Linked DNA regions of Notamacropus eugenii. The protein of the gene in region 2 interacts with the protein of the main gene of each other region in a pairwise test. Links are inferred from orthologs where the notes say so. Each region holds a gene or a part of one and is shown on either strand. Other genes may lie near its edges.

Region 1 (6,892 bases), about 140 Mb from region 2:
GTATAGGTAATAAGTATGAAATCCAGGAGTTGAATGCAGGTCCTGTGACTCCAACTTTAATACTTCTTCCACTGCACCATAATGCCTCCCATGGCAAGTCAGAGAAGGCTTTAGAGTTGGAAGGGACTTTAAAGGAAGAGAGTATTATCACAAAAATAAATAAATAAAGATGCCCTTAAGCTTTTTTTTTTTTCCAATGCTCCTCCAGGATTCCCTGGATGAGGTGGGCATGAAATCTTTACTCTTTGGTCAATTGCAAGTTAAAATGCATGAAAGTAATTTTGTTTTACCCTCCCATCCATTAGTTCTTCGTGGAGTCAATAAAATGGATCACAGGCTTTGGAAAGAAGGAGACAACTTGTAGGTCATAGTGTTCCTCTGATACAGAGATAAATTTGCACTTTTAATTAACCCTGCATCGAAAGAAATATTGTCATGAAAACAAAATGATTTATCAAGAGCTTTCCTATGCATGCTGGTGCAGGACTTCACTCCTCTGAATCCCTCACCAGTGTTGGTATGACAAGCATTTAAAAATGACAAAGAAAGAGCTTGTGAAACATGAAAAAAGGGTACACAGAGTTGTACTTGAATACACTTGAAACGTTTCCCCTGACTGCCATTCCAGTGTAGGAATTGTTATGTCTATCACTGTAACAATTATTCCTTCCATGTGCCAAACACCCATCTGCATTAGACAAAGGAGGAGTCCCATGTTTTTATGTGTTTGATGAATGTTAGAGAATAATTGTTTGAGGTTACTGAACTTTAGGCATCACATCATCTCTTTAAACTAATTGGAATTTCAGGGAAAAATCCAATTTTGAAGTGCATTTTAAAATTCCAGATACACTTGTTGCTTTTAAATATGCCTTTTCCCCCCCAATATTTGCTGCTATTCAGTAACTTTTGAATACTCACATATACTAAATGTATACTACGTAACTACTTTCCCTCAACTAGTATGTACTCTGTATAAAGTTTTAAGAATGTATAAAACTCTTCCAAAAAGGTATTTGTGTGTTAAAATATTTGACAGTATAAAAGCAACAGTGGTTGTGTTAATTTTGGCTTGATAATTAAGACCAAGAGAACAGAGATTCTCCACCAGCCAACACCATAGCATCCATACATGGAACCTCTGGTTACAGCAAATGGAGAAATATTGAATGCTGTGAATAAGTTCACTTACTTTGGAAGTATACTTTTCAGGGATGATGAGGTTGACACACACATTACCAGAGCTAGGTCATTATTTGGGAGGTTCTAATGGAAATTGTGGGAGAGAAGAGGCATTAGGCTGCCTATCAAACTCCAGGTCTACAGAACAGTTGTGTTGATCTCATTGTTGTATGCCTGTCTACCAGTTCTATGCCAAGAAACTGAACAGATTCCATTTGAATTGTCTTAGGAAGATTCTGAAGATCACCTGGCAAGATAAGATATAGGATATGAAGGTCCTTTCTCGAGTTGATCTGCAAGGCAAGCATTAAACTCTACTGCAGAAAGTGCAACTCTGATGGACCAGCCACATTGTTTGAATGCCAAATGTACCTTTGCCTAAAAGATTATTTTATGGAGAACTCACACAAGGCAAGTGTTCACAAAGAGGTCAAAAGAAGTGATACAAGGATACTCTCAAGATTTCTCTGAAGAGTTGGAAATGATTGAGAGAAGGGAGATGCTGGCACAGGACTGCCCAATGTCCCTTGCCCGTATTAAAGAAGACACTGTGCTCCTTGCACAAAGTCAAATTGCAGTAACTCAAAAGAAATGTGACATGCACAAATTTAGAGATATCTCTACTCCAAACTTGTATGGAGTATTTGTACCCAACCTGTGGTAAACCCTTCTGAGTTTATGTTAGTCTGATCAACCACAGTCAGACACGCTGTACTTTGACCCTAGCATGGTGATGCCATTTTGGTCCTCTTTAAGTACGAAGAACAACAACTAAGTTTTACATAACACTTTAGAAATATTATCTCATTTGATCCTTATAAGAATTCTGAGAGTTAGGTGCCATTATTATCCCAGTTTTACAGATGAGGAAATTGAAACAAGCATAGGTTAAGTGACTGGCCCAGGGTCAAACAGTTAATGCCTGAGGCTGGATTTGAATTCGAGTTTTCCTTATTCCAGGTCTATCTCTTGATCCACTTCACCACTTAGTGGCCTCTAGTAGGGGACAGAGGACTACCGCCCAGTTTAGATTCCCCTCCCCCTTCTAGATAATGAAAGTGATGAGAATGGCTGCATAGGATATAGACATGTGACTAAAGCACATATATGCACTATGTATGTACAGTATAGTTGAAAACTTCAAGACTTTCACTACATTTCTCTTATGCAACAGAACATGGTACAAAAGAGAGTCAGAGAACCTGGATTCAGACTTCGGTTTTATCATTTAATCTCAGTTTCTTTATCTGTATGATGAGGAAGCAAGAGCAGATGGCTTCTCAGGTACCTTCCCTCTCCAAGGCTATGACTGTAGGCGTATGTACTTCCCCTATCCATTTATGAGTGTGCTTTGTAATCTCATGACTGCTGACCACTGTGTGAATTATTACTTATGAAGCATTGTGATATATTTAGTACCACACATGCACACACGCAAACACATTTGTCTCTCTCTAGATAGCACACAGTGGATAGAGGGTTGCACTTGGAAGTCTGTAAGTTCTGGGTTCAAATCTCTCATCTGAAACTTAGCTCCATCACCACAGGCAAGTTATGGCTTAAGTTCCTTGAGCCTCAGGCAAATTCATGAAAATAAATTAGGGACATGCCAGTGACCCATTTGGTGGAGGGAGTTCTCACTCCTAGAAAATCCCAGGTCATTTAGATAGTTTCCATCTTTCTTTTTTACTTTCGGCCAATCAAGCCTTCTTAAAGTGTTTTTGTCTGTTGTAGTTTTTCGAAGGATAATTGGATCAAAACTGGAAAGAATTTCAGAGATAATATAGTCAAATAATTACAAAGTTGGAAAGGACCTCAGAATCAAGTCCAGCCCTAAACCGAACAATAAACTCATTTGCAATTTCCTCAAGAAGTGGTCACTTAACTACTGCTTAAAGACCTCCAATGAGGAACCACCTGAGGCAGTCCATTTTACTCTTTGGACAGCTCTAATTGTTTGGATGCTTTTTCTCACATGGAGCCAATTACGAGGCTCCCTTCCACTTGGACCCATTGGTCCTAGCTCTACTTTCTGGCGCCAACCAGAAGCCCCCTCATTTTCCAGGCAGAGACACTGAGGCCCAAGCTGGTGAACTGAGTTGCACCAAGTCATCCAGCCTAGTTCCTGGGAGGCCTGGAACTGGAATCCAGGCGTCCTAGCTTTTGGTCTTTTCCAGGTACCACAGCTGTTTCCCTTTGAGCACCTAGGTTTAATGGAGAAGAAAGCACTTTGTAAACATTAAAATACCCAATAAATGCAAGTTATTATAGCCCAAGGTCATTCTGGTCGTTCATTCTGGGCTGGAATTGAACCGAAATATTCAAATTCCAGATCCAGGGCTCTTCTCACTGCATGAAGCTGCTTCGACTTCAGGGCCCTCCCTTCAGGCCACTGAAATTTCTCCATCTCAAAAAAAAAAAAAAAAAAAAAAAAAAGTAAAACAAACAAGAAAACAAAACAAACAAACAACCAACCACGACAAAAATGAGGTTCAGTCATCAAGTGATGTCTTTCTTCTGACTAGTTTCCCCGTCTCCCTATGTGCATGTGAGTGTGTGAACGGAGAGAGGGAGACACAAGCTCAGCCTTTGAATTAGCCAACCGGGTGACCAGGCACTACCCGCCCCTTTGCCCCCCTCCCACCTCCCTCCCCTTTTCATTCCTCTGTTGCTCCCTCCCTCCCTTCCTCCTCCTCCTCCTCCTCCCTCCCCCTCCCCGCTCTGGCTCTCGCACTCAGGAAGCGGCTGGCTGCTGGCCCTCACAACTAACTCTCTCTTTTACTTTCTCCCTCCCTCTTCCCAGTCCTTGCGATCCCCAAGTCCACGCAGCCTTGGGAGAAGAGGCACAGGGTAGAGAACACCGCTGCCGCTGCTGCTGGCTTCCCCCCTCCCAACTCCTCCCCATCCTCGGAAGCAGAGGAGCCTCGCACCCCTTCCCCCCTGCCACAAACCTACTCTCCCCCCCTCCCCCCCCCCCCCCCCCGCAATCATTGGGTATCACCCGCCAGTCCACAACCTCATCATCAACCAGACTGGCTAACTTTCCCTCCGTGGACAGGGATGAGCACAACAGGCCAGGCACAGTGAAATGGAAACTTAACTTTAACATATATTTTTTAATTTAGATTTTTTTGGGGGAGGGGGAGAATGAACTGATGCCCAGGGGGCATCTCCTCTTAGACGTGCCCACGCAGCCCCAGCGAAAAGCACCCCGGCTGGGTTTTGCTGCCCCATTCCTCAGCTCGGATGGAAGTTTGCATTTCCAAAGGCCAAACCCTCCAAGCGTGCTGAAGCGCTGGGAGCCAAAGTTGCTGCCTGATACTCAGCCCCTTGCGAGCAGGGCTGTCATTCTCTCTGGTGGAGAGGAGAGAGAGAGGCAGCCCGGGGAGAGGAAAAATGCACGTTGAGCTTTGTTGTGGAAATCCTGGTTACCTGGTAAGTGGATGCCATAGGAACTTCGCTTGCAGGCAAGAAAGTGAGTGGGGGGGGGAGGGGGAACCTTCCAGCTTCCAGGGACCTGTATGAGAAATAGTTTTCTCTGGAAACCCTGTGCGGACGCACTGTTTCAAGTGTCGTGTCCTTCAGTCCTATTTTTTGATGAGGAAGCAGCTTTTTAAAAAACAGTATTATTTTTAAGACGCGGGAAAGGGAATATACTTTTCTTGTCAGTGGGGTAAGAGAGCCCAAAGAGTGGGAGTCAGGGCGGGACGGAGTGCTCCTGGACCGCGGTAAGAAACTGGAAAGTGAAGAGACTTTAAAGCAGGCTCTGGAAAGGAGAGGATTCTTTTTTTACCGAAAGGACCGGCTGTTGCTTAGAGATCAGTTCAAGTTAAGGGACTGGAAGGCATAGTCTGTGCCGACCGAAAAGTTTGTGTGAAAGAGAAAGTTTGGGGAAGTAGGTATTGAAAGGGTGATATAAGTTCATTCTTCAGACATAGACTGACGATCGATCTATCTATCTATCTATCTATCTATCTATCTATCTATCTATCTATCTATCTATCTATCTATCTATCAATCTCTACCTACCTACCCACCTACCTACCTGTCCAGCTCTGATCTATATCATAGCCTATTTGCCCCATATACGTGTATAACAGTAGCAGATACGTAGTATTTTGTACACACATTGTTGTAGCAAATAGACCCCTTAGGGGTGCTTTATTTAAACCCACGTGTTTGTTGATATACGTGAAAGCAGTGTTGGACTTGGGAGTGGTTTTTTACAGCAATATATTCCCACTATAGGGCTTCTCTGCGTAGGTATCCATACACACACCTGTGTCCAGTATCCTTGAGTGTTGCCAGCACACAGACACACTCAGACACAAACAGCCCGCTGCATGTGTCACCGAACGTTTACGTTTTGATCGTGCATAGCAAAATGTCAGGACTGTTTTGAAAATGTCTCATTTTCACTCTAAAAGGACTTTGTCCCGCTTCAGTCTCCATAAATTACCCTTGTGTGTTTTTGAAGGAAGTCTGTCCAAACTGCTCTCCGGAAAGCATGAGTCTGCAGTTCGAGTTCTTGGGCACGCACGCACACACTCACACACACACACAACACACACACACACACACACACACACGCACGCACACAAATGAACATGCACACTCAGGATCCTGTTCTCTCCCCCTCTCCGTCCCCCAGCACTGTGGTGATGTAGACTTCCAAATTACTCACTTTAGCTGACAAATCGGTCAGGGAATGAAGAAACAATACTGTCTGGAAACTTTGGGGGCGCGTCTCCTTGGTTTGGAAGGATTTGTCATCGTGTAGATGATTAAGTTAGGTACCTGGAGGGAGAAACTTTGGGAAAGTTCATTTCCGGTTGTATTATCTCCAGGGTGTTGGGGGTGGGAGTGGTGGTGCAGTGGCCTGGCTCAGGCTGGGGCTCCCACATCTACGCAGTTCCCGTCTTTTGCTGCACCTTGGCACAGGGGTTCCTCGCTCAACTTGCCCCAGGCTGGGGGCTGGGGCGGGGGGCGAGGGGGTGTATGCGCCTCTGGGGTGGGAGGCATTTGGGAAAGGGAAAGGGAGCAGGCCCGGACTTTATGTGCCGCTCTGGTCCGGGTAGCCATTCATGAATGTGACTTTATTAAAGGGTTGCTGAGCGAACCGGAGCCCTCCCGGCAAAGGGCTTATTCAGTCCGGAGTTGCACAACAGGAAGCCTGGGCGCTTTTTGTTTTGCTTTGTTGTCCTTTCTGATAGGATAGATTAGTTTGGTGACTGTGACGAAGGACTAGGAAGGGAATGGTCTCCCCCCATCCCCCCACTCCCCCAATCCAGGCTTTCCTTGCTCTTTAACACCCCTCCCGCCTCCCATGCTGGCCTTCCCCAGGTAGCCAAGGTGGGGAGAGGAGCCCTTGCAGAGAGGGCACATTCACCCAGCCCTGGGCACATGGGGCTTCGGGCTACTTTCAGTCAGCCCAGAGATTGGGGTATGAGAGGTTGGCATAAAGGGGCTCATTCCTTTCTTTTCCCTTTTGCCCCTTTCAAGTTCCTGGGATAGTCTTTGAGAGCCCGGCCTGGATTCAATCCTGGGAGACCTGGCATCCTAAGGGGGTGGGGTGCCTCTCCTTTCTGCCACAGGCTCAGTGAGCACTGACTTTCCTCATCTCTCCTTTCTCCTTTTAGGCACCCTGAACCCCTCATCCCCTTTTCTCGACAGGCTCTGATCCTGGAATTGCAGGACAGTTTCTCTGCCC
Region 2 (7,692 bases):
AAGTACGAAGTTTCATGTTTCCCATGAAGTCCTTTAATCACATCAATCACAATGCATTAATATATAAAAGCATAGTTTAAATTTTTAATTAAGTTACCAGAGACCTGATATGAGCCTCAGGCCTCTTTAAAAGAAACTCAGCATAGATACCTATAAAAAAGTTTGTTAGTCAATAAGCATTTATTAAGTGCCTACTATATGCCAAGCACATGATAAATATTTGAGGATACAAAGACGGGCAAAAAACTGTCCCTGCTATCAAGCAACTCACATTCTAATGGAGGAAAAAACATGCAGAGAAATAAGCACAAGCCAGCTATAGCCAGGATAAACTGGAGAGAGTACCAAAGGGAAGTCATGCATTAGTAACTAAGGAGGACTGGTAAAGGCTTCTTGCAGAAGGTGGGACTTTAGCTGAGATCTGAGGGAATTCAGAATACAAAATGAGGAGAGAGAGTATTCCAGTAAAAATGCCCAATGTCAGGAGATGAAATGTCTTGTTTGAGGAACAGCAAAAGGATCTTTTCAGAGAAGAGTAAGGTGTTAGATTTGAAGTCAGATGGCCTGGGTTCAAATTCTGCCTAATATTTCCTAGCTAGGTGACCTTAGGCAAATCACCTAATTTCTCTCATCCTCAATTTGTTCCCCTGTAAAACAGAAGTTATGATATTTTCACTAACTACCCTCACAGGGTTGTTGCAAAGAAAATATAAGCCAGAAATAGCTATAGAAATATGAATCACTGTAATATTATTTAAAGGTACTTTTATACTTCAGCTAAAGAACAAGTTGTAAGCCCTAAAGAGATGAGAACAATGCCTTAACAACCAGGGAAAAAACTTCCCTTTCCAAAAGAACAAGTGGCCAGGTCTCATTATCTACTGCTTAGCCAACTTTTGAGGCTGCCTGGCTGTAGACCACTTGCTCTAACATGGAAGTCCACCAGCCACTGACCTGCACAATGGTGTTTTAAAGGGAAATGCTAGGGTATTTGGTGAGGAGAAGTGCTCAATCCCAAAGGGAAAATTGAAGACAAATGATTCTGAAATGAAACTCACTTTACCTAACTTCCCCTTTTTCCAGGCAACTGATTCCAGGGCCACAAGGCCAGCAGCTGTCCCAAGAGGTCAGTTTCCAGTGATCTGCCCCTTCTTCCTGTCCCAAGACTCCATGGACATGAACTGAGTGAGGGTCTGCCTTAAAGGGACAGTTATAAGCTATAAAATAATTCTTATGAAACAAATCTTTGTACCAATACAATATGTTTTCTAGCTAACACAACAGTCTCCTTGCCAGAATCTATTGGTAGTTACCAGTTGGCTTAACATAAGAATCATAGAATGAGAGTCAGAAGGCATTTTAGGGGCCATTCAATCTAACTCTCACCTGACTAGAATCCCCTCTATAATATTCTCTTGAAGACCTTAAGCCAGCAGAATTTCCTCTCACTTCTGTATAGGCTTAATTGTTAGAAAGTTTTTCCTTAAATAAAGCATGAATCCACTTCTACTCTTCGACCCCTCAGTGCTCCTAATATTTGTGGCCTTTAGAGCTATGTGACAGCCCTTCAAACATTCTACTCCACTGTTCTCTTATGGCCAAACACCCCCAATGCTTTAGGGCAATCAAAAATCATTTTTTAAAAAATCAAAGAATTTGGAGCTGGAAGAGATTTTGGAGTTCATCTAGAAGACCTTGCAAAAGAGCAAACTTTGGCCCAGGGAGCTTGAGTGATCTGTCAGTGAAAAGAGAACGAGCCAAGTGTCAGATAGAGCTAAAAACCCAGGTCTCTCAGTACAGAATTCTTTTCAAGTCCTCCTGAGCGAGATAACCCAAGCTGCGCCTGAAAAGATCATGCACGAACCTTTTCCTAACCTTCAGCCCTTTTAAATTCATGTGAATTCCTCGTCCCCTATGTTTGTCCCTGGTCTCAATCTGTTTTCCTCCTCTAGGTCAAAAGAAATGAAGACTGTAAAGGCAAAAGAGGCCGTCAAAGGAACGACTTTTCAGAGAAAATTTCCAAAACTTAAAGGGGAGGGGAGTTTAAGAATCAAAAGACTTCAAACGCAAAACCTGTCCACTACTAACAGGTCCTTCAGCTCACCCTGGCTCCCCTTCTCTAACCTCCACTCCCAGCCGGGCATAGCCCTTCTCCTTTCCCCCTCCCTTCCCCCCATCTCTAAGAGGGACTCCTTCCAAGCACTCGCAAACAGGCAAACTTTCCCCCGAGCCAGGCAGCCACCCCCTCTCAACTCCAGCCTCCAGCTTGGGTCCGACAATAACGTCCTGTCCTTCCCCAACCTGGCTCCCCCTCTCGCCTCCCCGCCAGGGTCTGCGAGCTCCCCACGGCCCGCCTCCGGCTCCAAAGACCCCTTTTCTTCCACAGCCCCGCAGCCCCAGGCACCCCCCCCTCCCCAAATTTCCATGAGCTCTTTGGTCCTCGAGCCCGGTTAACCCCTTTGTCTCCGCGGTCCTCGGAGGCTCCAAAGTTAACCCTTTCCCTCCCGAGCCCCGCGTCGCCTCGCTGGCCCCTCCCCCCCGCCCTTCGGCTTAACCCTTCCACGCCCGGCCGCGCTGCCCCCGCCCCCCTCGGCTAACCCTCCGCTCCGCCCCCCGGGCTCACCAGTACTTCACGATGGCGGTGACCTGCAGCGGGTTGGGCTGCTCGGGGTACAGGCGGCGGCACTCGCCGTAGATGGCGTGTAGCCCCGGGGGAAAGAGTGAGGCGAAGGCCGGGGGCGCGGCGGGGCCGGGGGCCGGAGCCGGGGCTGGGGCCGGGGGCGCGGCGGGGCCGGGGGCGCCGCTAGGCCGCAGCTCAGCCATCGGGGCGGCGGGGGCCGGGGCCGGGGCGGGGGGCGGAGGCTGGCACTGACGGACACACTGGCGGGACGGCAAGCAGAGTTCGTGGGTGCGACGCCCTGAGGGCAGCAGCGAGGTCCGGACTCCGCGCCTGCGCACGGCACCCCCGTCCACCCAGGCCGCCGCCGCTGCCGAGTCTGCCAGTGGGGCGCCGCGGGGCCGCCGGGCGCTCTTTGGGGCGGGGCTCCAGCGCCCGCTCTCCTGGAGATTATTGGTCGTCATCTATATCAGTCACAGGCTGGAGGGCGTGGCCTGACAATAGGCCCGCCCCCACCGTCCAGCGGCCGGGGAGGGTGGAGGGGAGAAAGTGCTGGGCTAGCCCTGGCCATCCGGAGGTGTTACTTGAGTGCGTGCGGGGCTCTGGGCATCCCTGTGAGACGAGCGACAGGACCGCGGTTCTGTTCCTTCCCCCTTGGTGCCGAGAAGGTTCTGCCTCAGCGGACGGGGTCATTCATTCATTCGTCTGCGCGGTACTGACTTTTTTAAAGACGGTTGAGACTTGGTTTCCGTACCTACCCCACCGACGTCTGTGGACAAGATCCAGGGGATGTAGGTTACCTGCCAGCTGCCACTTTCCTGTGTTCTTTTCCGTGGGTTGGGTGGAAGACTTTAAACTCCGCACAGATACATCATGAAAGCCAAAGGCAGCGCGGTGGACTAGAACGAGCGCTGGTGTCAAAGACCCTGGCACGCTCCTCACCCTGGGCAAGGCGCTTGACTTTTAGCTGCTCCCAGGGCGCTCTCAGAAATCCTTCAGTTACAGTAGCATTCCTTATCTGCATGGCTGAGACAGTGTCCATAACTGCGGCTCCTCTCCACAGATAGTCAGAGATAGGAACCAAAGAATAATAATAAGACCTGCTTTGGGAGAAGTAAAGCCCCCCTCTAAATAGTTATCCACAAGTACTGTGTGCAGATAGGAATTTAATAATTTTTTTTTATTATGGTAACATTCCCTTCTGTTATTTCTCTTCTGCATTGAAAAGTTACTGAGGAATCCCCGCTGGCCCCCATAATCGTTGCCCTCTGTATGTGGGGAGAGTCTTAAAAGTTTCTAAGATATCAGCTTTACAGATTTTTTAAAAATCACAATAACCTTATAGGCACGCTATTGTTTACTCAAGTAATCTTGAATGTAAAATGAGACAGCCATAGGCATTAATAGAAAGGAGGGGTTTCCAAAGGGCAAGTATGATTAACTGAAAAACACCAATAATTGAGAATGAGTATCCTAATAGTAATTCACATTTGTATAATGCTTTAAAGGGAGGTAAGTAGCAAGCATTTGTTAGGTACCTCTTGTTAAGGGCTTTATAAATATTATTGAATTTGTTAAGACTTACAAAACACTCTCCCTATAACAACCTTGTGAGGCAGATAGAACAAGTATCATACTCATTTTATAGACATGGAAACTCAGTAAGTTTCAGATAGGGTAAATGACTTTTCCACAGCTGCATGGCTTGGTAACTTGCAAAGCCAAGAACAGTCTGCATCTCTGTTGCTTAACCTGTCCTTGTTTCCATTTTCACTTAAGGATATAATTCTGACTATCAAAAGGAATGAAATGATGCAAGAAACTCTGGGTGCCTTGAAGGAAAGTTCATTGGCATTTGATTGGACATTTATTAAACACCTATACTCAAAACTATGCTCAGCACTGGGGACATAAAAACCAAAAAAGTCATAGTCACCATCCTCAAAAAGCATACATTTTACTGGAGAGGATACAGTATGTACACAAGTAATTCTAATTTGTGGTACACTGAAGAAGGACAGTAAGCATATCAACAACCGGGGAAAATCAGAAAAGGCTTCAAGAAGGAGGCAGAGGCTGAACTGACCTTGAAGGACAAGGACAATAAGGACTGAGAAAAGGGATGAAAAGAAAATGCATACCACTGATGGGGTACATGGAGGTAGAAGACAAGGGATCACCTTTAGAAATATTTAGAACTTAGTTTGTGAAGTTAGAGTCTGAAATGAGAGCTTACAATAGGGAAGGCCTTAAATGTAACCTGGAGTTTGTATTTTATCTTTGAAGCCATATACAGCCAGATAAGATTTTAGAGCAGAGAAGGGGCATGATCAGACCTGAAACTAGAACCAAAAATTCTTGTGGAAAGAACTTCAGATATCATTTAGTTCAATTTATTCATTGTACATATGAATCTGAGACCTGGAGAGGTTAAATAATTTGTTCCAAGAAAGTGAGGCAGAAATGCTTTTACTAGTGCTGGCTATTCAATAACAGCTGTGTGATTCTGGGAAAATAATTGAACCTCTCTTTTACCATCTGTAAAATGAAGGATTTTAACTAGGTATTCCAGTGCTCTTCTAATTCTAAAAGGCCTATCAAAAATTATCACAAATGACAACAACCTATATAGATGGACTAAACAAAGTATAACTAGAAGAGGTCTGTCCTGATGCAACACAGGACTATGGATGCTGAGGGACTGGTTCTCAAGATACCTTAAAAAAGGGAGAGGATGCCAGAGGGAGGAGAGGGAAAAAATGGGCATTTTTTACTACTGAAAGTAATTATTTTAAAAAATCAGTAACTGAAAACCCATATACTTACAGAAATCTGTGAGAATTACAAACACATACCATATCCTTGATGAAAGGTATGAGAAAGAGCAGTCAAGTTTTCAAAAATTATGTTTTATAACAGACCACATCTTTATAGTCACACAATTAACTGAAAGGTACAGAGAATACAAGCTCCCACCGCGCTTGTGTTTGTCGAATATTTAAAAAAAAAAATTTGGTTTTCTAGAGCCAAACAGATCTTCGACAAAGCACAGCTCCATTTAGAAAAGTCAAACAAGATTCCTTGTATCCTTGTATCCTAATACACCTGTAGAGATTACCTCTGATGATGACTATCAGTGGACACGCTGGATTACCAAAGCTGGTCGGCATTGTCAGGAAGGATGTCCACAAAGTCTAAACGTAAGGTTTTAAAAGACGCTCGGGTTTGCAGATGACATGGTGCGAACTGTAGTACTACTACACCCCACCCCTAACCCCCACACGTTGCAAAACAAAAGATAGAGATATCAAACCGTGTAAAAATCGGAAAGGAAATGGACCCTACGAGTATCAAGAATGAAAGAAAAGACGTATAAAGCAAGAATGAAAAATAAGTTATTCCACCGTAGTGAAAAGTCCCTGGTATGTAGCGTATTTATTTATGAGAGGCCACAGACAAGTATCCAAGTACTTAGGCACACAGTCCCGCGAGACTACATGTCCCAGCATACATTTCGAACCCGCCTCATCAAAGACGGAATGGACTACAGATCCCATCATGCAACAACGGCAAACAATTCATGTCCCTTTCACGCTTCTCCAAGTAAACTACAAAGCCCAAAGAGCTGTGCGAAGGAAAGTCTAATACCCATCATGCAAAGCTTCGCTGGATTTTGAAAGAGTCTGAGAGATGTTTTCCCAGTAGGAGGGGTACCGCATAGTATATTGGGGACTGTAGTCTTCCGGAGGGTGAAGAGCAGCCCCTCCCGACTTCCTTGTCCCGGGGACAAGATTGCGCATGCGTAGCGGTGGTAGCAGCAGCAGCAGCAGCAGCAGCAACAGCGGACCCGGCTGGCAGTTTCTTCCTCCGGAGGAGAGACCCCTCTGCCATGGAGTCCTACGATATTATCGCCAACCAGCCTGTCGTGATCGACAACGTGAGTCTGGGTTTCCTCTTCCCCGAGCAGGGCCCGGCTATCTTAGTCCGAGGGTCCCCCGCCCTGGCCGCTGACTCTTTGTCACCGGCTCGGCCTGTCAGGAGGCTTTGGCGGTCCCCTTCTCCTTGAGAGAAGCAGTCCCTGGCCGGTCCATAGGCCAGCATCGCTAGGGTGGAGGTCGGAGGAGAGAAACACCCCATCTCTAGCCCCCCGGGTCATCGGGCCCTTGGCCTGAGGGGCCTCAACCGCTCTGTCGGCGCCCAGGGCCCAGCCCCTTCTCCAGTTCTGGTGACTCTATTGGTTCGGGTAGCTGTCCATCTCAACTAGTTAGTTCCGCCCCCTGGCTAGCCGGATGGGGCAGCGCTCTGAAGGGATTGGCTAGTTCCCCCGTCCATCCGATGGAATGCCGCAGGGTTTCCTCTTTCCGTGGGGCGGGGCGGGGCAGAAGGGAGTGTCAAGGATTGGCTCCCAGGACTCCTGTTGGTGAGACCAGTGGGACAGGGTTCCGCCCATGGGTGGAGAAGGGCCCGATTTTGTTCAGTCCTGGGCCTGGGCGGGGTGGGGACGTGGGAAGGCCGGACCCAGCCCCTGGGTGGGGTCGGATGGAGCTCCCGGGGAGTCTTGGTGGCTGTGAGCGAGTTTCCTTGGGCTCTGTTGTTTTTGTGGTCACTAATTATAATGCTGGTGTTACTGTATCAAGGGGTCAGAACACTCCTTCCTCCTGTGGAAAACCCAAACGGATCTTTAGTTTTGGGGAAGATCAAACTGTAGCCTTCCAGATGTACTTCTGGGTGTAGTGGATATATTCCCTGTGTGGAACCAGCGGCCAAAGATGTGTGGTGATCCCTGGGGTTCGTGGAAGCTCGTTACCTCATTAACCCTTTGATCGTGACCTTGGGTCTGGGTGACCCAAGGAAGTTTGTGTCATCCAGCTTTACTGTTCCCGTAGATCTGACTTAAAGGAGGGGATAATGGTAAGAAAGTGATAAGGCAGCCCAAGACCCCAGAGGGCCAAAAGCAAAAGAAGATTGCCTTCACACTGTAATTGCCCTAGTAGGGTTATCTCTCATTTTTGGATTTGGATTCTTGTGTCTGCTGGTCTCCTCCAAAAGTAACCGGTATATCTTCATCTTCTTTT
Region 3 (7,350 bases), on a different chromosome or scaffold from region 2:
GCAGCAGCTTATTGACTAGAAAGCCACATATCAACATTATCTATGTTCTACTGTATTGTTGTTTTCCTTTGTTAATTATTTCCCTGTTACATTTTCTTCTGCTTTGGGATACACTTCAAAGTGTTGCTGGGTGGCTTAGAGGACAGACACCAAGACACAAAGTCCAAAGGAATTGGTGATGTGGGGCTGGAGCTCAGGAGAGAGTAAGACTGGAGATGGAAGGCGGGGCTTCTTATATAGAAATGAAAATTAAACTTGTGTGACCCCACGAGTGGGTCATTCGATAAACCATTTATGAAGCGCCAACTACATGCCAGACAATGGGTCCAGCGCTGGACCTACTGTTGTGGTTGTGTTTGTCCTTCCTTCTGGAAGAGGACTGTGACATCAGGATGATGACATGACTTGCAGTTGACTCTGATTTGAGTGAGGGAGAGCTGTGCAAGGTCACCTACCTCACCTTCTTCTCCTGAGCCACCTGGATCCAGTGGCCCGACCTACAGAAAAAGGCGAGGACGATCCCCTTGGAGGAGCCCTCCTCTGATGGGAAGGCAGGGCTCTTAGTGCCCAGCCCTGGGCCCTTTCTGTGTCCAGCGGAGGCCAGTTCTTCCCCCGAATCTCGCCTGCCCCCAGCCCTGGCCGGAACCGGGAGGGAGCGGGATATCCTGGGAGCTCCCAGGCTCCTCCTCGCAGGTGTTTCCGCAATCCCAGCAGCTGCCTCTGCCCTGGGGGTTCATTATTTACCTCTGGAGTTGCCAGCCCTCTAGGCCCCACCCCGAAGTTTTTGTGAGTTCGGACCCCCCCCCCCCAGTCCCACCCGCCCGGGGCCACTGAAGGGGCGGATCCCGATGGAAGCCCAGCCCCTTCTTCTCCCTAGTTATTGGGGCTCTCTCCCCGCCCTCCCCAACCCAAGGAAAAAGCATACAGATCCAAATACAGACAGGTATACAGACGGACGTGAGGACAGACAGAACCACGCACGCTCCCTGTCCTTCAGAGAGCCACTGAGGGCCGGGCCCGGGGGCAGGGGAGGGTCCGGGCTGACAGCCCGTCTGGCAAGGCTCGCTGTATGACCTTGGGCAGATGCTTGCCCCTCTCCGCCACACGGGACATTGGAAGGGGCAGGGCGGTTGCCCGGGCACGGTTGGATAGTTTTGGTCCTGTCTCCACCCACTGCTAGAGGGGAAGTGGGCCAGGGGACATTCCCGGAACGGAGGTGGGGGAGTGCACGGCGCAGATGGAGCAGGGGTAGAACGGAAGAGAGGGGAGGCCGAAGTTCCAGCCGGGGTGGGCTGGGCGTGGGGGAAGGCAGGATGCAGTAGAGGAACTGACCGAGGTCAGTCACGGGAGCCCCAGGCCAGCGTGAGCGGGGCGGGCCGGGCTGGGCTGGGGAGCCCGGGGCTGGAGGCGGACATCGGAGTGCCCCGAGGGGACGGGGAGCCAGGGTGCCTCGAGCAGGAGGGGGAACTGGGGGGCCTAGGAAGTTTGGTTCTCGCGGGGGCGTGGCCGGGCCTCTGGGATCCTTGGGGGAAGTGGAGAAGGGGAGGGCACGGTCCGACGGAACATCGCGTTCCTTTAGGGGATAGGGCTGGGGGAGAGGTTAGAACCAAGGCACGTGTAGGCCTCCCCATGAGGGGTGGGGCCTTCAGTAGTTTTGGAGGTGAACGTGCCATCGCTGGTGGGGAGTGTGGGGTGGTGGTAGAGGTCTCCCCGTTTCTGATGAGCCGCACTGATTGGGGTCAGCACCTGGGTCCATGGAGTGTCTGTGACTCAGTTTCTCTCTTCAGGTCTCAGCATGGGTAGGCCCTTTCCTAACCCCCAGGGTCTCCCTTTCCTATTGTTGCTGCTTCTCCCAGAGCTGAGGGTGCTGAGTGCAGGTGAGGGAGAGAGGGAGCCTGGAGCCTGGGAAGGGTTGGGAGGCAGGGCTGCGGGTCACAGGAAGCCCTGCGCTCACAGCGTCCCTTCCCCCTTTCCTGTCTCTCCTGGCTGTCCCTGTGTCTTTTCTCTCCCATGCTGTCCCTGTCCAACCTCTGGCCGCCTGACCTCGGACCTGCAGAGGCACCCTCCTTGTTCTACCAGCTCACTGCCGTATCAGTGGCCCCTAAGGGGACTCCCAGGTTCTGGGCCTCAGGGTGGCTGGGTCCCCAGCTCTTCCTGACCTATAGCTCTGGTGGCAATGCAGAGCCCTGGGGGGCCTGGCGCTGGGAGCCTCAGGAACCCTGGTTTTGGGAGAAGGAGACCTGGTACCTGAAGACCCAAGAACGGTTGCTGCAGGAAGCCCTGAGTCTCTCTAAGAAGCAGGGTGAGGTTGGATGGATGCTGGGCTGGAGGGGGCTCCTGGAAGGGGGAGCTTCCTCCCTCATATCCTCATCTGGGGCCTCCCCCAGGGGCCCACACTTTTCAGGGCCTGGTGGGCTGCCAACTGAACCCCGACAACTCATCTCATCACACTGCTCGATATGCCCTGGATGGGGCAGACCTCTTGACCTTTGACCCTGTGTCCAGAGTTTGGTCAGGAGACACTGTGGAGGCCTGGAATGTGAAGGAAAGCTGGGCCAATGAGAGCCAGCGGGCTGAGAAGGATGCAGAATTCCTGCTTACCACCTGCCCCCAGAAGCTCAAAAGTCACCTGCAGAAGGGTCAGGGCAACTTCCATTGGAAAGGTACGTGAGCAGCTGGCATCAGAGTTGCCAGAAGTCACCACAAGTCAGTGGACTCCAAGGTCTGGCTCCTACCCAGGCCAGAGAAGAAGGAGATGGACAGAGAAAGAGGGCAGCGGGATCCTGATGCCCAGTACCAGAAGGGGATCAGGGATGGAGTCCCCCTTACATAGGCAAAGAAGAGGTGGACCAGGGAGGGTGAGGCTCATCTGGGGGAGGTCTCAGAGTCTGGGGGCTGCATCACAGAGCTGGAAGAGATCTTTGTTATTCATTTCAGTTTTATCTGACTCTTCGTGACCCCATTTGGGGTTTTCTTGCCAAAGATACTGGAAGCTCATTTTACAGATGAGGAAACTGAGGCCAACAGGGTGAAGTGACTTGCCTGTAGTCACAGTTAGTAATTGTCTGAGGCCAGATTTGAACTGACTTCAGGTCTGGGCACCCTGTGCACTCTGGTGCCATCTAGCCGCCCTGTACAGACCTTAGTTCCAACCCTCCACTGATGTGGGAACTGAGACCCAGACAGGAGAAGGCACTTGCCCCAGGTCACCCAGGTGACTGACTTGGGGGCTGGTCTTGTGGGTGCCATTGATCTGGGCTCATTTTCCCTTAGAGGCCCCAGAGGTGCGAGCTGGAGGCCATGTCGAGTCAGGGTCCACCCAGTCCATCCTCACTTGCCAGGCCTTCTCCTTCTTCCCACCGGAACTGGAGCTGAGCTTCCTTTGGAAGGGGCAGCCAGTGGCTGCGAAGGGAGTGGAACCATGGCCCAACGGGGGCGGTGCCTTCTATTCCCGGGGCACTCTGCTGGTTCCCTTTGGGGATGAAGCCCTCTATAGCTGCGTGGTGCAACACCCTGCACTGGCCAGCTCCATCACTGTGAACTTCGGTAAGAGCAGGGGGCTTCTAGGGCCACTGGATCCTTGGTCCCAATTCATCAATCAACATTTCTCAAGCACTTTGTACGCCCACTGATCAATCCTTTCCCACCTCCCCACACCTGCAGAGGCGTCTGGCGGACTGCCCATGCCGATCAGAGTCAGCTTGGTGGCAGGCTCCCTGCTCTTCCTGGTGTCCCTGGGGGCTGTGGTGGCTTGTGTGGTGATCTGTAGGAAGAGAGGAGGACGCCCAGGTAAGCCGTGGTCCGGAACTCCGCTGGGGCCAGGAGAAACAGAGGAGAGATGGACCTCAGAGCCTTGCCCTCTCATCCTGGTTCCTCCTTTTCTTTTTCTCGCCCATTTTAGCTCCCTGGATTTTCCGGAGGCGTGCAGGAGACGACGTGGGGTCCCTGCTCTCGGCCCCAGGGTCTCCCCAGGACTCCAGCCCCTAAGATCCCGGCGTCCTGCCTGGCTGCTGCTGGACCCCCTCTCCACCCTTGCAGGGGGTTGTCTCTGGATGCTGTGCGATCCCCTGATAGAGTCCTGTCTCCCGCCCCCTCCGCATCCTCGGCCCTTTCCAGGCAGCCCTCCTCGATTTCACCTTTGACAGTGCAGAAATGTTGATATACTCCTCTCTCCCAAACAAAACAAGAGGCTGTTGGGTCCAGATCTCTGCTGTGTCCTTTTCTTCCAATTCTGTTTGAGGGGAGTCAGAGTGGGGATTCACCGTATGGGGGGAGGGGAAGTCCTTCCCGGGGTCTAACCTTCGTCTCACTTGCTGCTGCTGCGCAAGCTCCTGTGGCTGTGGCTGCAGCTGCAGCAGGGATTGCTCGGCACCGGGGGCGGGGCTCCCCACTGAGTTCTGTCTGTCCCGCACGCCTGCCTCGGGTTTGGAGCCCCAGCTGCGTCCCGGGCCCCGAGGCTGCTGGGAACTGTAGTTTCCTAAATGTTCCGCAGGCATTATGAACCAACGGGAGGAGGGGATGGAGGCCCCCTCCCCCCTCCCCCCAGCAGATACCGCCCCTGGGCTCCCACCCTGCGGACGTGGCGCCGTGAGCCCAATGAGCGCCCAAGAAGGGGAAGGCTCCGCCCCGGCCTGGGGCCTGAGCGGCGGGATTGGCTGGAGGGCGGGGCCACAAGGAGCCTGCGATCCGGGCGGGGGGATGAAAGGAGGGAGCAGGGAGCTGGGCTCCCTCTGAGCTAGCGCCGAGGGACGGGACGGGACGGGACGGGGTGGTGAGGAACCCCGGAGTGGAACGCGGGCCCCTGCAACCCCACCCTTCCCCAGTCCAGTCCTCCAGGCAGCCCCTCTCTGCATCCCTAGTCCTCTAGCCCCTTTCTAGATCCCTAACCCGCCCTCCATCCCCTCTCTGGCCCCCAACCCTTTCCCCAGTCCTCCTCTGTGCCCCAACCCACCCTCTGTCCCCCAACACTCTCTCCGTCCTCTCTCTGTCCCCCAAGACGCCCTCCATCCTCCCTCTGGCCCCCCAACCCTCCCTCCATCCTCTCTCCTGCCCCCAACCCTTCCCCCAGTCCTTTTCTGTGCCCCAACCCACCCTCTCTCCGTCCTCTCTCTGGCCCCCAAGACGCCTCCATCCTCTCTCCTGCCCCCAACCCTTCCCTCAGTCCTCTGGCCCCCAATCCTTCCTCTATCCCCTCTGCGACCCACAACCCACCTCCCTTTCTTTCTGGACCCCCAATTTCCAACTCCTCTGTTCTCCAATCAGCAGCTCTACTCCGTGCCACCCCCATCCCCCAGCACATGCTCCTATTCCTTTCTTTGTAATCCCTGCAATTTTGTGCCCCTCTCCCCTATGCTCCTTTGTCCCACATCCCTTAGCACTTCTGTGCCCCTTTCCCCAGCCCCTCAGTCCCCTAGATATGTCCCAATACTCTTAGCTAATGTATGCCTCCTGTGCCATCTCCATTCCTCTTTGTGCCACTACCTACTGTCCATGCCTTCCCTGTGCCCCACCTCACCCCCTCAATTCATTCTCCAGCTCTCACCTATGCCTTCATCCCCAGTCTCCTTTCCGTGCCACTCCCATTGCCCAGACCCTATCTTGCCCTCAGACCCATCCCCCACTATGTACCCCTGCCCCCTCTTCTAGCCCCTCTGTGAGTTCTTAACCTATTTCCTAATCTGCCACCCCTGAGCTATGTCCTCCAGCTCCTTGGTGCCCCATAGTCCCCACTCTATATCCTAGTTCTTTCTTGTATGCCTATCCTCCACCCCCCTCTGCCCCCTTCCATGGTTACCCAGTCCCTTTCTGTACCCTACCCCCTCCCAACCCCTCTCTATTAAACCCTGGCCCAATCCTTTCCCTCTGCCCACTGCAGCCCCCTTCTCGCTTTCCCTTATCACTATCTCACTGCATCCTTTGCTCTTCCAGCTCCCCCAATGTGCGGCTTTCCCTTCTGCCCACCATTTCTCCTTCTGTGTTTCCTTCATCCTTCCACCAACACCAGTCTCTTGTCATCTGTCCCCGTACCCTTATCCATCTCCTGATCTCTAACCCCAAAGTTTGCCTTTCTTTCTCTTTTTTCACCTGCTCCCTCCATCTTAAGTTAACTCATTTCTCCTAGTTTTCATCTAGCTACACCTACTAGCTTTTCAGCCCTTCACCCCTTTCCTGCATACCTCCCATGCCACCTCCACATCACCCTGGGTGCCTCCACCCCTGTCCTCTACTTTTTGTGACCTCCCCCCCACCCTCCGTTGGTGCCTTTGTCTCCCCCCCATCTCTTAGACCCTCTCTGTACCATTTCCCATTGCCCAGCCCAGTAACCCCCTGACCCTTTCCCACTTCAGTATCACCACCTCCTGTCTCATGCCAATTCCCTGCCCCTCCCCACCACTTTGACCCATTTGCCATCTCTGGACCCTGTCCACCTCCTCCTTTCTAATCATCGCCCAGTCTGTCCTGGGACTCTGTGCTCAGGCCTTCTTGACCTCTCTCCTTCAGGAATGACGTGGCTGTGGTCACTGCTGCTGCTGGGGCTAGACCTGGGCAAAGAGGCATGGGGCAAGCCCCCCCCAGATACCGGGGTTCCTCTCTCAAGCCGGGTGCACCAACAGGCCCCACTGAGTGAGGCCAAGCATGACGATACCCATGGAGACTTCCAGTTTGACCACGAGGCCTTCCTGGGCCGGGAGGCAGCTCGGGAGTTTGACCAGCTTAGCCCAGAAGAGAGCAAAGCAAGGCTCGGGTATGAGATGCGCGCACGTGCGCACATGTGCACGTGTGTGTGCGTGTGCGCGTGTGTGTGTGTGTGTGTGTGTATTACTACTGGATGGGATTGATGTGGCGGGGGCGGGGAAGTTAGCATCTCCTGCCGTATAAGGACAGTGGAAGAACCATGGGCTGTTTACCCTACAGCCAAGAAGGCTGAGGAATGAGTGGTTGTGGGTGCGGGGTGGCTTTGAGATCTGTTCTCAAGAATTTGGAAGGGTTGTCAAGTGGAAAGGATTGGCCTCCGAGGGGAGGGGTGTGGGGCGGAGTTAGGGAGGAAGGGCCTTGGAGGAAAGGGAGGATGATTTAGGTTCAATGTCAGGAAAACTTACCAATGAGGGTGGAGTCTACCTGGGCAGAATGGGGGTGTCACCCCCTCCCTGCTGAATAACCACTTGGCTGGGGGGTGGGGCTTAGCGAGGTGGTCACCAAGGTCAGGTCATTCAATTAACAAGCACTTCCGGGCCACCCAAAAAGGCCAGTCCCTGGCTTCAAGGAGCTCGCATTCTACCAGGTCCCTGTTCTCTCTGAGGGTGCTTGACCCCCTCCTTGTCACCCCCCCCCCTCCACCCTTGCACTCCG
Region 4 (7,869 bases), on a different chromosome or scaffold from region 2:
CCTGTGATACAACCTTTGGATGGTTCTCTTCTATCTGCTTTGATTCTGAACCCTGTTTTGGTCTGCCTTGTGGTATATATACTTGTTTTCTGCCTGCTTCCCTAGGGTAAGCTTTTGGACATTTCTCAACCCTTGACAGCAAGATTCTGGACCTATTGCCTCTTCCGTTTTGCCCTTTACAACACTTCCCTGCTCTTTTCATGCCTTGCCTGGCTACATGTATTTTTGACACTGTTATCTGACTGTGTGTGTTCAAACTATTAACTACTTACCTGGTTCTAGATCCTTTGGTTCCACCTTTTCTGCCAGATTCCAGGCCAGTTCCTGTGGGTCCAGGTCACTCCTGTGCTTACTCCCCCTCCCTGTCCTGAGCAAATAAATCCTGTGCTCCCAGTCCAATTCTTTCTCATCCAGTTTCCACACTACTCACCTCCTGCTGCCCATTCTCCCAGAGCTGACATTGAACTGATTGTAAGCTGCTGGGCACATTCCGAGGTGCATTAACTCTAGCTGACCATAATGGTGCCATTTACTAAATTACTGATCCATTGACCTTAGACAAGTCACTTAGCCTCTTTGTATTTCACTTTCCTCACCTATCAAAAACATGTTCTAAGTAAGAAAAATGAGCTTGGCTTCTCTGTTACCTAAACTGACTACATTCCTTCCTGGAACATAGGCACTATGTCTAGAGATACAGACACTTCTTTTCATTTGAGGCTGACAACCCCACTGGATGATTCATCCACACTTATTCTTTCCCCTCATTTTCCCCAAACCCCAAATAATGATTTTATAAAACCTCCCTTCTATCAACCTCTCCTAAAACTACATGACTGGCCTAAGACTTATTTTGTTTACCTCTTCAAAAAGCATTTTGTTTACTAAAGCTGAGAATCTGTTTGCCTTGGTTTTTCAATAGGACTAAAGAAACTCATATTCCTAGCTCTTGATAGTATACATGGAGAAAAGGGTGCAACAGTGAGAAAGGATATGAGTAGTGGAAAGGCATCATCATGTAGGGGAAAGACCATTGGATTTGAACTTGGAAGACTCCAGTTCTGCCACTAAATGATCCTGGGTGAGTCACTTCTCTAAGGGTCTCAGTCTCTTATCTGTAAAATGTGGAGGGGGTGGAGTTAGATTAGATAAGTCTAAGGTTCTAAAATCCCTTCAAGATCTTATGTTCTTTGTTTAAGACCCTTTCCAGCTCGAATACTATGTTCTATGATCCTGCAATTCTGCAATGTCTGACATTCTCCATTCTATCCTATGATCCTCTCAAACATTCTGAAATAGTCTAGTGAATGAAGTGAAAGAATTCAATACAAGCTCAAAGAAGAACGAATTAATGGAATTTTTCCTGAATATACTCACATATACATTATACACACATATACACACTATATATATAATGTGTATGTGAAAACACACACATATAATATGCTATACATACATATATACACTATATCATACATATATACATATGTGTATATATGTATATATGTGGGTTCTCTAGGGTTTTTGTACATTATATATCACCTGCAGTAAGAAGAGCTGATGTTCCTCTCTCCCATTTTTTCCTTTCTGTTCTATCATTGATGAAAGAAGGGGGAAAAAAATCTTTGGAAAAATCTAGAGTTTGCAGTATTAAGATGTAGTCTTCTCATGTTCTGTTCTCTTTTCCTTCCTTCATAAGCCTGCCATTAGTGGGAAAGCAGGAAAGTGGTGCATTGAAACTTTGTCTTCCACCAATTCCAAGGGCTGACATTAAGTACAGGTCAAGGAGAATAGAAACCAGTTACTTACAAATCTCACTTGAGGTATTCAGTTGATGTTCAGACTGGTTTCCAGTCTTCCCTTGCATTGTAGCACGATATGTGGAAATATACCTCCAGTATCATAATGGAGCAGGGTAGAGTCACTTCATAGGAATTTGCTTAATGGGAAGCTTTCAGGAACCTATCTGTTCTGTAAAATGAGGTTCACCTATAAGCAAATTGCAAAAACAAAAACTTCCTGATTGTTGGAGGTACCAAAGATTGGTTCTCTACAGTCCATGAGGGATTGATTACAAAGAGAAAATGCTGATGACTCCAAGAGCTTTTTCACAGCAAGGATATCCTTGGACACCTTACCTTACAATCGTTTCCCTAAGAAAAGAGCAACCTTCCCAAGGGCACATCCTTGTCACTGTTGCTATCTGAAGTAACATGGGACAAAATAATCGTGGAGAATTTAAATCCATGGACAACTCCTACTCTTAATCTGTTTCAACGTCCTTTCCTACAACATTTAAAAATTGAATGGGCAGAGAAATAAAGAAAATAGGCTTGTTTTCAATTTCTCTCCATGCTCCTGCACTCCCTCTGCTGGAGATGTCAATAAGCAGAGCAATGATTGAAGGGTGGGCAGCAGGAAGGAGAGGAAATAAAGGCCTCAATTATCCACAAATGGTAAATAAATAGCCTCGAAGTTCATTTTTAAAACCTAGCAGTATATATTCTCAGCATTCTATTGACAATTATAAAATGTGTCCTGATAATCTCACTTATCAACAGTTGCCCTGGATGTCAGTAAATTCTAGAACAGTTCACAATCAGTGGGGAAAAAGTATTATTTGGCGAAATTAAAGCTTTACACCTCAATATGTCCTGTTTTGTTTTCTTTTGTGTGGGAGAGGAGGATGAGAGGAATATGCAAGACTGGGCTGGACTAAACAATTCGGCAATAAATTCCATTATCAGGTTCATGTGCTGAATATCATACTAGACAACATTATCTCCTTTATCCATGTTATTCCCACCTAGAATTTCTTCCACCCCTTACCACCCCTCAACATTCTATGTTTCCTTCAAGACCAAGCTCACCAAGACTCCACATTCCTTCCCCATGGAGTTTTCCCTATCTTCCTTAAGTACCAGACCCAAATTATTTCCAAGTTACAATCAACTTCAGAGGTAATCCAGTCCCATCTCCCACATAATTCAAGGATACTATGATATAAAGACATCTATCTTCTAAAATTCCAGTGATAAGGGACTATATCACCTTGAGTTGAAATCTGTTTCCTGTCAACCTGCTCCCCACCCCTAGCATCCACCCATTGGTTCTAGTGCTGTCCTGTGTGGCAACACTGTAGAGCACTTGAGATATATTTGTGTGTGTATGTATACGTATGTGTATATAATATGTATGAATGTATGCATACACATACCACATAATACATGTTTTTATCTACTATACCTTACATGCCCTTCCCCTCACTTAATTATATACTGTCTTGTATTGTTCATTGTTATTTGTATTAAACCATAGGGCTTTTGCTCTAATAATGGTGATATCACCATAGCCACCATACCTTCCTCATTCCACATTTTTATCTTCACTTGTCCTTCATTCAAGCCTATCTCAAGGCCCACATTGTTCATGAAGCCTCCCTCAACTACACTGATCCGTTTTGGTATAGTTTATCTGGAACTTATGACTTAAAACACAATTCATCATTTCAGTACCTGTGATTTCTTTCATCTGTGTGACTGGTCCATTAGTCAGTCCATGACTGACATTAGTCAGTCTTTTTGAGGGTTGCTTGGTCTGAAAACTTATCAAGTTGTTAATAAGCTTCTCTGTCCTTAGCTAGCCTGGTCTTCAAAAGACAGACATACAGTCTCTTCCTGGATCTGTACTCAAAAATTTTTCTAGTTCCACAGAATCAAGGAGATCTGTTAAGGTTTACAGGCTGCTGGTATGGCTTTCAAAAAATCAGAACTACCTTCATGCAGTGATGCAGCATAAGAAGATTTTACTGAAGCTCAAATATTTAATGTCTCATTTTTCTGTTTCAATGTGTTATTCTTGTTATCTTTGCCCCAACAATACTGTAAGCCTCTTGAGGGTAAGGGCCTCTTTTTCTGGATCACATCTCCTTTTCTTCTGTCTACAATATTTAGCACAGTGTAGGACTGAACACTTCAATAAGTGCCTACAGATTGTTTTTCCAGTAATGCTGTTGGAACCCTACTGGTTCAGTTTTACTCTGCTTCTTCTCACATCTGTAAGAAGGCAGACTTGGACTTAGGGCCTTGGAATCCCAAACTGGGACATTAGTTCCCTTATGCTCACAGACAAGAAAACCACTACTCACAGGGTACCAACCACATAAACCAGAAAATTTGGGGAGTTGATGTGCAAAGGACCTGGACTTGAAATTTGAGCTTGGGGTTACTCTGTGACCTTGGGCCCAGGTCTCAGTTTCCTTCTCTATCAAGTGGAGAGTTTGGACTAGAGTTGGTCTCTAAGGTCCCTTCCAGTTCTGGGGTCTCCTCGCTGGAATAAGAACATCAGTTCTGGGCAAATAAGCTCTACTTTGTCTGAATTAATTGCAGTTCCAGTAAGTAGAAAATCACTTTGATGGGAGTCTTTAGTGGGGCTTGATGTGTGCCTATGGATTTTACTGACTCCAAATGTATTTCTCTTCCTCTAAAAGTGTATTAAAAACATAAAGAACCCCACAGCTACACATAATCACGTGCTCTTGGCAGCGTGGAAGAATTAGGCTGCTCCTGGAGGTGATTGTCAAGTTGGAAGACCTGACAGTTACCGGCCCAACAAGCTTATCTACAGCTCCTGCAGCGGCAGGGATGCTTGGTGATCGGTGCCGTTCAGAGAGGGAGTGGCAGACACCAAGAGACTTAGCTATGGCCACTGTCAGGTCTGGGAGCAGGGGAGGCTCCCCCCGCTGCAGGCGGCCATCTCCCCTTCCCCCTTCTCCTGGGTTCTGGGCTGAGGCCGGGGACTGTCCGGAGCTGATCTCGGGCTCCCATTGGCCGCTGTCTGCCGTGACGTCACGATCATGATGAGAATTGATGATCGGACACGCTGATTTCATTGTCTGAGGCGGCGGTGGAGACCCAGGAAAAATCTCGCTGAATCCGCCCTGCCCGGCTCTCGCCCGCCCCGGGGAGCCTCGCATTCCGGCCGCTTTCCCATCACGCGCGAGGTAAGCCCTGCACCTAGTGGAGTGGGCTGGGGGGAAAGGGCGGGGGAGGGCAGGGCACTGAGCGACTGGTCCGCCCAGTGGGGGGCCCTCAGGGGCCGAGGCCTGCGGAGCCAGGGCGGCGGAGCAGCTGCGCGGGGCCCCGGGAGCCCAGCGTCGCTCCCCACAGGGCCCGGCCGGCGACGGCGGGGCGGAGCGGAGCTGGGGATGGGGCTGCCCCGGGCACAGACCGGAGGGCCCGGGGCCTGGGGCCCCGGAGCTGCCGAGCTCGGGGCTCGCCCCTTGCCTCGCCTGGCCTGGCCTCGCCGGAGGAGGAGGAGGAGTAGAAGGAGGTGGCGCCTTTTCCTCTCACAAGAGGGGGGTGAATTCTGCCGCTTCTAGATTGTACTGGACTGTAGCTTTCCCACAGCCCGGCTCTTACGCGCGGAGGGCGCTGCGCCTGCGCAGTCCCACCTGCGCGAGGGTGGGGCGCGCGGTGAGGGGCGGGCGGGCGTGCGCAAGCGCACTTCTCCGCTGAGCTTAGGGCTGGCCTTCGCCTGGGGCTTGGAAGAGAAGGAGGAGCGGGGAGATTTGAGAAGTTGGAGCGAAAGCTGAGTGGAAAACTGAACCTGATCGGGATGGGATTTGTGTGGTCGGGGTAATAACACCAACTCTTCCAGTGGTCTGCTTCCCGTTGACAACATTCTCGAGTTGCCCTTAAGGCCAGCCCCCTTGCTGGTTCATCTGTAGTTATATAGCCCCATTCTCTCATGCTGAGCAGACTTTCAACTGGAATCTCGTCTTTGGGGGCCACTCGAGGCCATTGGACCCTCTTCGTGTCATTTTCCTCCCTCCTGCTATGCCCTTTTTTCCCACTTGAAACCCCGTTTCTGAGTTTCTCCTCTTAGATCCCGTTCCCTTGTCTCCCTAATTCTCTCAAAGCCACATAAGCACCCTCCAATTTGGAGTGACCTCCCATCTGCTGGGCTTGCATTACTCAGAGCCTGAGACAAATTTTGAACAACAAGCTCTCAGGTCTGTGGTACATGTAATCACATCAGGATAAGTTGTACTGAAGAGTACTTACCTTTCTGTGCCCCACAGCAACTAAGTGCTATTGGCTGGAGAACTTGAGTGTCCATTCTGTGCTTTTGACTCTGGCGAATCCATGCTGTCAAGTTATTCTTTTCCTTTCTCTATATGTATATGAAGGCAGTTATCAAATCCTAATGGATTTTTCTCCTTCCATATCTCTACTGCTACCACCCTAGGTCAGACTATCATCATCTCGAACTAATTACAAACTCTTAGCTCCCCCATTTTCCCCTTCCCCAGTCCATCCTGTATACTTCTGCCAGAGTAATCTTCCTCAGATATCACTTTCCTGATGATATTTCCCTTCTCAGAAACCTTTATTGTCTATTACCTATTACACTACAACTAAACTCTTCTGCCTCGCTGCCCTCAGGAGCCCCACCTTACCTGTTCACTTCTATTTCTCTCTGTTCCCCATTGCCTGTCTCCTCAGGCAATGTCCTCTGAACACATACACTACTCATTCTCACCTCTGTCCCTTCACTTGAGTTATTACCCCATCCTCTGACTCCTCAAATACCCCCCAACACACACACACACACACACACACACACACACACTACTTTCCCTTCTGTGTCTCACTATCTCTCAAGGCTCAACTCAAACCTTGACTGACTAAACATAGGATCACAGATTTAGAGGTGGATGAGCAAAGACTCAGAGAGGTTAAGAAATTTTCCCCAAATCATACCTTATAAACATATATATATATATATATACATATGTGTGTATATCTATCTATCTATCTGTATATACATATATATATATGATCTGAGATTTTAATCCAGATCCTCTCAACCCACATCTGGTGTTCTTTTCCACCAGCCATCATCAATCCTCTCTGGTCTCTGAGCTCCTAGAGCACTTATAGGCTACCCCCAGAAAGGGAGCTTGAGCATTTAGTTAAATGTAGACCTAATCATTCTCTCATTCTTTCACGTGTTATGTATAGTCCTGTTGCTGAAGAGGAAATTAAACTCTGAGGCTGGCGATCCTGTCTTTTATTCTGTATCCTGTATAGTGCTAAAGAAATACTAAATGATTGAAACAGTGTAGCTGCATAAGACCTTCTTTCCCAAATAGAGGGCTGCCTAGAAAAGCAAATAAGATTTTTTAGAGTAAGAGATTTTTTAGAGTAAGATTTTATCTGTCTGAGACACAATCTGTCCATAGTAAGACAAAACAGTTCTCTACTTGGGAAATCTGCCACCAATTTCTTATTTAGGCCCCAGGCTACTAAGTATGCCCAGCTCTAACAATAGAGTCACTTGGTAATTCAGGTGTCATCATACAAAGATGAATGTCAAAGAAAAGCCTTACTCAAGAAATATTCTTATGTAAGGGGTACCAACCATGTGCTGTTTCCCCCACAGACCATCGTACCTGATAGTGATGCTGCCTGCTCTTTCTCCAGTTCTCCTTTTTTGGGGGGGAGAGGGAACGAGAAATAATGTTAGCATTTCTGTTCTTTCACATTTCAAAATGACATCATTTGTCTCCCTTGTTTTAGGTTTCCTACTTTTTGGATGCTCTCCCACAATTCCCTACTTCATGGACAATTTTTACTTATGTCTGTTTCCTTACCTCCTAGTCCTGCCCCAATACCTCAGTAAGATTTAGGGTTCTGGGACATAGTGAATCAACTCTGAAGAATTCAAAATCAGTATTTGAAAAATTTGAAAAATCACTGTTGTAGACCATCAGAAGTAAACTGTATATGTTGATCCTAATAAGAGAAAATTCATTCTCTGTTATTCATTCATTTCTTCCCCTTTCTCTAATTTATGTCATTCGTC

Evidence for each region.
Region 1: the proteins of SUFU (region 2) and GLIS3 interact in binary tests that used the Homo sapiens proteins (3 or more experiments, as listed by UniProt). The link is inferred for Notamacropus eugenii from reciprocal best matches to the Homo sapiens genes SUFU and GLIS3.
Region 3: the proteins of SUFU (region 2) and RCN3 interact in binary tests that used the Homo sapiens proteins (3 or more experiments, as listed by UniProt). The two-hybrid records come from large-scale screens. The link is inferred for Notamacropus eugenii from reciprocal best matches to the Homo sapiens genes SUFU and RCN3.
Region 4: the proteins of SUFU (region 2) and HDX interact in binary tests that used the Homo sapiens proteins (3 or more experiments, as listed by UniProt). The link is inferred for Notamacropus eugenii from reciprocal best matches to the Homo sapiens genes SUFU and HDX.

Annotation. Positions count from the first base shown.
Region 1 is NC_092872.1:40,395,890-40,402,781, forward strand, and holds the start of GLIS3 (zinc finger protein GLIS3), read left to right. Parts: upstream 1-3,890; 5' UTR 3,891-4,617; intron 4,618-6,892. UniProt on the Homo sapiens protein: Acts both as a repressor and an activator of transcription. Binds to the consensus sequence 5'-GACCACCCAC-3'.
Region 2 is NC_092872.1:180,690,965-180,698,656, reverse strand, and holds the start of SUFU (suppressor of fused homolog), read right to left. Parts: upstream 3,015-7,692; 5' UTR 2,824-3,014; coding exon 2,624-2,823; intron 1-2,623. Other genes in the region: ACTR1A (alpha-centractin), read left to right, coding at 6,507-6,554. UniProt on the Homo sapiens protein: Negative regulator in the hedgehog/smoothened signaling pathway. Down-regulates GLI1-mediated transactivation of target genes. Down-regulates GLI2-mediated transactivation of target genes. Part of a corepressor complex that acts on DNA-bound GLI1.
Region 3 is NC_092876.1:12,233,734-12,241,083, reverse strand, and holds the start of RCN3 (reticulocalbin-3), read left to right. Parts: upstream 1-4,331; 5' UTR 4,332-4,771; exon of another isoform or gene 4,772-4,836; intron 4,837-6,501; 5' UTR 6,502-6,503; coding exon 6,504-6,745; intron 6,746-7,350. Other genes in the region: FCGRT (IgG receptor FcRn large subunit p51), read left to right, coding at 1,796-1,877, 2,057-2,302, 2,388-2,663, 3,274-3,546, 3,664-3,789, 3,902-3,987. UniProt on the Homo sapiens protein: Probable molecular chaperone assisting protein biosynthesis and transport in the endoplasmic reticulum.
Region 4 is NC_092879.1:79,045,567-79,053,435, reverse strand, and holds the start of HDX (highly divergent homeobox), read left to right. Parts: upstream 1-4,856; 5' UTR 4,857-5,002; intron 5,003-7,869.